2 linked regions of the Cricetulus griseus genome follow. The protein of the gene in region 1 interacts with the protein of each later gene in a biochemical or structural test. Links are inferred from orthologs where the notes say so. Each region holds a gene or a part of one and is shown in the gene's direction. Other genes may lie near its edges. The genes, in order: Clspn and Csnk1g1.

Region 1 (3,828 bases):
GTAACTGTGCCTTATGGTTCCAGCGGATACCCTGTGTTATGGCAGGTCAGTCACAGTGGCAGGAGCAGAAGGCACTGGGCACATTGCCTCCATAGTCAGGAAGAAGAAAGCAATGAATGCTTACATTCAGCTCCTTTTCTCTTTTTCAGTCAGTATAGGACACCCCAGCCCATGGATTAGTACCACCCACAGTTAGGTTGGGTCTTCCTACCTCAGTCAACCTAACCTAGATGATCCCTTGAAGACAGCTTTGTTTCCATGGTGATCCTAAGCCCCATCAAGTTGAAATTCACAATTCACACCAACTTCTTTTTGTCTTTCTTTTTACAATTTTTCAAAATTACATTTTGTTTATCTTGTGTGCATGTACGTGTGAGCACACATACACATATACAAATGCCACAATACACATGAGAAGATCATAGGACAACTTGTTGGAGTTGGTTCCCTCCACCATGTGGATCCTGGGAATTGAACTCAGATCATCAGGCTTGGCAGCAAGCACCTTTACCCACTCAGCCATCTTGCTGGCCACGTTCAGCTTCTAACCCTGGTGTTGGAAATCAGACAGTTTTTACTGGCGGTTTTGTCTCTTCTCTGGGTCATTTCTGACACTTGGTTGTGCTTGTAGATTTTTAAACATTAGAAATCACCGGAATCGCTATCAAGCTTTGAAGCCTCAGTTGCCACTGGCCAGTATGGATGAGAATGCCATGGATGCCAATATGGATGAGCTGCTGGATTTGTGTACTGGACAGTTTACATCTCAGTCTGAAGAGAAATGTCAACCCACAGGGAGTGACAAAAAAGAAAACATGGAGGAACTTCTGAATCTTTGCTCCGGCAAATTTCCTTCCCAAGGTAAATATTCAGTGAAAGTTCTTGGCTTACCACAGCCACACAGCTTACATCAGTGTCCCTGATGGAAGCCCTTGCCCCTTGAAGTGAGTGTACGGAAAACAGGCATGTGCTGGAATTCATTCCTAGTTCCTCACCTTTACAGCTCTTGCTTTCTTAGAATGACAGTGTCAGCTTAGGAATGCTTCCCTAGCTTCGGCCACATAATGTATAACTTAAACTTAACCTATATACAAAGCTTAAAACCTTATCTGGTATATAGTAAATGTTACGTGCTGGAATAGGACATAGGCTCTATGAGGTAATTGGGGTATATTGTTCATTACTGCCTTCCAGGGGCTTGGCACACAGTAAGTATGAGGATTTGTTGAAAGAATGGATGGATGGTGAACTGTAGCGATAAATCTTTCCACCAAGCCGCCCGAGCCCCGCCACCATGTGGATGCCCAAAATAACACACAGAGATTAATGTTAGGTACAGTGCTGATGGCCAATGACTAGGATTTCTTACTCTATATATTTTATAAAGACTTATCTTATTGAATGCCAGCAGCAGGCATCTTCTCTTGCCGGGATCACATGGTGGCTCCAGAGAGAAGAGAGGAGGAGGAAGAGAGCGATTTCCTGCTTGTCCCTGCTTATATTCTGAGTCTGCCTGTTATGTCATTTCCTGCCTAGATCACAAGACTTCTCTTTACTACATTTCCCAGAATTCTCCTCAACTCCTAGTCCCACCTATCTTGCTTCCCTATTGGCCAACAGTGCTTTATTCAGCAACCAATAAGATAAGCATGCACAGAAGGACCTCCCCCATCAGTGGACTTTTTAAACATTTTACCTAAGAACTGAATTGAGCTGGCTGGTCTTTAGATGGCCAGGAAGAGTAAAGGTGTCATCTCCTTCCTCATTGATCTTTTCCTTGTTGAGGTAGATGCCTCCCCTATGGCTCCATTGGAGTTGAGCAACCAGGAGAAGAACAGCATAGATGATCCTATGGAAGAGGCGCTTGCTCTTTGCTCAGGCTCTTTCCCAACGGACAGGTGAGTCTCAAAGATTGGGAGGAACCCTAGGATCCCATTCACTGGGTTCAGCAATAGACTAAATAACTTTGGTTAAGGCAAATCAGAGACATTGCCCCACATCCATTAGGATGACTACAGTTTTATATAAACAACTAAGTATTGGTGAAGACAAGGAAAATCTCTGTTTACCATTGGTGAGCTGCTAGGAAAAACAATATGATGGTTTCTCACAATTCATAATAGAATTACCATCTGGTCCAGCAATTCCACTTAGATTCAAAAGATGTCTACAATCTCAGCACTTGAGGAGACTGAGACAGGAGGATCATGAATTCCAGACCAACCTAGCCTATACATTGAAATTTTGTCTCAAAAGCATGAGAGATACACACAGAGACTTAAAAGTAAAAATTCAAGTGGGCAGGTGTGGTGGTAAGCAGCTATAACTCTAGCACTTAGGTGGTAAAGGGAGTAGGATCAGGAAGGAGTTCAAGATCATCTTGGACTATATAAAGAGCCCCAGGACAAGTGAGAGACATGGGAAAGACCTGCCCCAAAAAACCACACAGCCTGGTGTGGTGTATACCTGGAATCCAGTATTCAGGGAACAGGAGCAAGAGAGTCAGAAGTTCAGAATCAGGCATATGGCTCAGTGGGTAAGGGCACTTGCCTTCAAGCCGAAAGACCTGGGTTCAATCCCTGATGTCTCACTGGTAGAAGGAGAGAACTGACTCCCACACATTGTCCTCTGAACTCTATATGCAGGCAATGGCATGCATGTAGTTATGGCAATGGCATGCGTGTAGTTACAGACGCACATGCTCTTGCATGTATATGCAGGCAATGGCATGCGTGTAGTTACAGACGCACATGCTCTTGCATGTATATGCAGGCAATGGCATGTGTGTAGTTACAGACGCACATGCTGTTGCATGTATATGCAGGCAATGGCATGCGTGTAGTTACAGATACACATGATGTTGCATGTATATGCAGGCAATGGCATGCGTGTAGTTACAGATACACATGATGTTGCATGTATATGCAGGCAATGGCATGTGTGTAGTTACAGACACACTTGCTGTTGCATGTACACACACTAAATGTATAAATAAACAAAGGCAAAAAAGCTTAAGGTCAGCCTCAGCTACATGAACTCCTTTCTCATAAATAAATGAATAAAACAGGTTTTTTAATTTGTTTTACATTATTTGGTAGTAGCCAAAATGAAGAGGGAAAGGCAATGGTCTGCTATCTTAGTTAAGGTTATTATCCCTGTGATAAAACACCATGACAAAAAAGAAAATGGGGGCGGAGAGGGTTCATTTGGCTTACACTTCACCTCACTGTTCATCATCAAAGGACATCAGGACCGCAACTCAAGCAGGGCAGGAACCTGGAGGCAGGAGCTGATGCAGAGGCCATGGAGGGGTGCTGCTTACTGGCTTGTTCCCCATGGTTTTCTCGGCCTGCTCTCTCAACACCCCTGCCTGCCTCCCCCCAATCGTTCATTTAAAAAATGCCCTACAGGGTTACATACTGCTCTGTCTTATGGAGGCGTTTTCTCAATTGAGGCTCACTCCTCTCTGGTGATTAAAGCTGTGTCAAGTTGACATAAAACTAGCCAGCACATCTGCTAAATACAACTTATACACATTAAATGACTTTAAAAGGAAGAAATCTGCTTTTGTTGTCTGAGACTAGGTCTTCCTATCCAGGCCAGACTGGCCTGGAGTTCACTGTTGGTTCAGGCTGACCACAAACTGGTGATCCTTCTGCCTCATCCTCCAAGTGTGTACATCCAGCCCAACAGGAAGGAAATCATGACACATGCCTTAACATGAAGGAACCATGAAGGTATTATGCTAGGAGCAAGAAATATTCGTCATAGGATAGATACTGTGTAAGTCCATTCTGTATAGTCTTGGGAATAGACAGTTTTGTGTAG
Region 2 (3,828 bases), on another chromosome or scaffold:
TACCCCCTGCACTAATGTTTTCAAAATCATGTGGCTGAGATGTTTAATTCCCTGGCATATTATATACTTTGGGGCTGGCCAAGAAGCTTTGCGGCCAAATTACATACTAGTTCCAGCTTATGCAGTTAGAACAGTCTCTATGAGAAGTTTTTTAGGCCCTCAAGGGAAGAATTCAAATGTTGGATTTTTTTTTAAGATTTTATTTATTATGTATACAATGTTCTGCCTGCATGTATGCCTGCAGGCTGGAAGAGGGTACCAGATCTCATTTAAGGTGGTTGTGAGCCCACCATGTGGTTTCTGGGAATTGAACTCAGGACCTCTGGAAGAGCACTCAGTGCTCTTAACCTCTGAGCCATCTCTCCAGCCCAAATGTTGAGTTTTTTTGCTTTGTTTTATATTATTTTTTGTTTTGTTTTGTTGAGATGGTCTCACCAGCTTAGACTGGCTTTGAACTTTAGATCCTCTTGCTTCAGCCTCCTGAGTGCTAAGGTGGATGTGTACCACCACAGCCTTCAGGTACATCTTAATTCAAAGTAGTGGTGGTTTCACCATCATCCAGCAGCAATTTGGAAACACTTGAAAACTGACCAAAATCTAAATATTTAAGTCTCCTTTTTGCTATGTAGAGATGCTTTATAGATAGAATTACTTAATGAAATTTGAGACAATGTTACAGTTACTTATTTCAAGCTGTGGTTACTATAGCATAAAGACTGCACGTCCTTTGTATTTCTGTAGTACCAAGATTTGGGTTAGAGAGTCTTGAGCACCTGAAGACACATAGTGTGGGCAGGAGGTAAAGTGGCAGCTATACCTGTCTCAGAGTGCATGCTTGCAAGTTACAAAAATATTATCATGTTAGCCAAATTGTACTGTCTCATTTTTTCCTCCTAATCTTGATAGTTGTTATATATTTATAATAAAAGTACTAGGAATGGGGTGTGCTAGAGATTTCAGTTAAGAGCAGTTACTGCTCTTGCAGAAAACCTAAATTTGATTTGCAGCACCTACGTCAGGCAACTAACACACTGCCTGTAACTCCAGTTCCAGGGAATCTGACAGCCTCTGGCCTTGTGGGCACATGCACACAACTGGTATATGTAAACTGTAAACATGCAGATGAATAAATAAAATAACAAAAGAAACCTTAAAATGGCTGGGCGTTGGTGGCGCACACCTTTAATCCCAGCACTCGGGAGGCAGAGGCAGGTTGATCTTTGTGAGTTCCAGACCAGCCTGGTCTACAAGAGCTAGTTCCAGGACAGCCTCCAAAGCCACAGAGAAACCCTGTCTTGAAAAACCAAAACCTTAAAATGGAGTTTTGGTTTGTAAGTCAGTGAAGTGCAAGATAAATAAGGGATGGATTTTTTTTTTTTTTTTTTTTTTTTTTTTTTTTTTTTTTTTTTTTGAGACAGGGCCTTACTATGTAACCCTGGCTGTCCTGGAACTCTCCAATATAAAGCAATTCATAGAAATCCATCTGGGATTAAAGGCATGCACCACCACACCCAGCCAAGAGATGAGTTTTATTTTAATTTTATTTTCTGAAACCTTATGCTGAGTCAGACAATGGCATATATACATACAGTGCCAGCTACTTAAGAGATCTAGATAAGAAGATTACTTAAGTTCAAGATCTCAAGGCCTAACCTAGACAGCATAGTGATACAGAAAACAATGAGAAGGAAAAAAATAAAACTGAAAAAAATATTTGGGGGCAGTGAAATGGCTCATCAGGTAAAGATGCTTGCCACCAAGCAAGCCCGACAGCCTAAATTTAGTCCTCAGGCCCACATGGTAGAAAGAACTGACTTCTGCAAGTTATACTCGGATCACCACACCATGCCCATGGATGGATGGATGGATGGATGGATGGATGGATGGATGGATGGGCGGGCCGGCAGACAGACAGACAGACAGACAAGCATAATTTTAGGAAATATTTTGGGCCAGGTATAATGGCATGTGCCTTTGATCTCATCCTTGAAACCTGTTAGTTCTGGGACAGCCAGAGCTACATAGTGAGAGCCTGTCTCATGGGGGCGGGGGGTGGGGGGGCATTTTGGATCGTGTTTCCCCACACCCACTCCCCCAACATGCTTATTTCAAGGTATTTCCATTATTTTTTTCTTTCTTTTAGCTTTCTCGAATGGAGTATGTACACTCAAAGAATCTCATTTACCGAGATGTCAAACCAGAAAACTTCTTGATTGGCCGACAAGGCAATAAGAAAGAACATGTAATACACATAATAGATTTTGGACTGGCCAAGGAATACATTGATCCTGAAACCAAAAAACACATACCTTACAGAGAGCACAAAAGCTTAACTGGAACTGCACGATACATGTCTATCAACACGCATCTGGGCAAAGGTGTGTTTAGAAGGGCAGGTCATATGAACTACTTTCTTTTCCAATAGCACTTTATTGTGCATTACATTGTGCACTACAGCTTGTACCATTTGTTGTATCACAAGGTAAGTGACTTTTTTATACTTAAAAGATTGAAATGGTAAGTTAGTGATGTTCCCAAATACCTTAATACTAATGGAGTCTTGATTCTTTCAACTGTGGTTTTTGTTTGTTTTTGTTTTTTCAACTGTGTTTCCTACTGCTTCATTCCTCAGTAATTTAAGAACTTGAGTTATTATTTTAAAGATTTTTTTTATTTATTATGTATACAACATTTTGCTTCCATGTATATCTGCACACCAGAAGAGGGCACCAGATCTCATAACAGATGGTTGTGAGCCACCATGTGGTTGCTGGGAATTGAACTCGGGACCTCTGGAAGAGCAGTCGGTGCTCTTAATCTCTGAGCCATCTCTCCAGCCCCAAGAACTTGGGTTATTTTATTTTAGATCTCATTTTATTATTATTATTGCATGAGTGTTTTGTTTGCATATACGTCTGTGTTCATGCATTTGTGGTACCCTTAGGCCAGAAGAGGGTGTGGAGCCTCCTGGTAGAGTTAGACTGTTCTGAGCGGCCATGTGGGTGCAGGGAATCCAATATAGATTGGTTAAGAGCAACCAGGGCTCTTAACCACTGAGCCATCTCTCCAGCCGCTAAGAACTTGAGGTATTGCAACAAGATTGTAGTAATTGAATAGGTTTAATAATGAGACTTGTATTTACACTTGTATGACCCTGTGTATTAGCAGACAAAAGGAAAACATCAGGCTTGTGCCTGTGTTAGTGACGAGGTTTCACTAAAATATGGATTAAGGAGCTGAAGAGATGGCTCAGCAGTTAAGATCACTGGCTGCTCTTACAGAGGACTAGGTTCCATTGTCAGCACCCACATGGCAGCTCATAACCATCTGTAACTCTAATTGCAGGAGATCTGATACTCTGTTTTGATCTCTCTGGTACCAGGAAACACAATGTGATACACAGATATACATTCAGGCAAAATGTGACTTGGATAGAATGTTTAGCCCAGTGGGTCATTACATGTGTAGTTATCTTTATTATTCTTCAAGGTATGTTTTGAACATCTACTCTGTGTGATAAGTGAAGTACTTCTTCATCTTGATGTACTGCCTTTGCCATTAAAATTATCTCATTATCTCCAGAATGGGCTTTTGTGAGGTTCAAGTGTTCTTCAGGTCAACTCTAACATGTCCTAACATTTTGGTTGTTCTCTCCATTTTGTAAAAAAAAAAAAAAAAAAAAACTCTCCCTCCCTCCTCTCTCTCTCTCTCTCTCTCTCCTCTCTCTCTCTCTCTCTCTCTCTCTCTCTCTCTCTCTCTCTCGTGTGTGTGTGTGTGTGTGTGTGTGTGTGTGTGTGTGTGTGTGTGTGTGTGTGTGTTTAGGTTTTG

What was found.
Region 2: of the proteins of Clspn (region 1) and Csnk1g1, one has a biochemical effect on the other in vitro, tested with the Homo sapiens proteins (2 studies listed by BioGRID). The link is inferred for Cricetulus griseus from reciprocal best matches to the Homo sapiens genes CLSPN and CSNK1G1.

What each region holds. Positions count from the first base shown.
Region 1 is NC_048595.1:26,456,412-26,460,239, reverse strand, and holds part of Clspn (claspin), read left to right. Parts: intron 1-631; coding exon 632-861; intron 862-1,789; coding exon 1,790-1,898; intron 1,899-3,828.
Region 2 is NC_048597.1:177,613,521-177,617,348, forward strand, and holds part of Csnk1g1 (casein kinase I), read left to right. Parts: intron 1-2,143; coding exon 2,144-2,378; intron 2,379-3,828.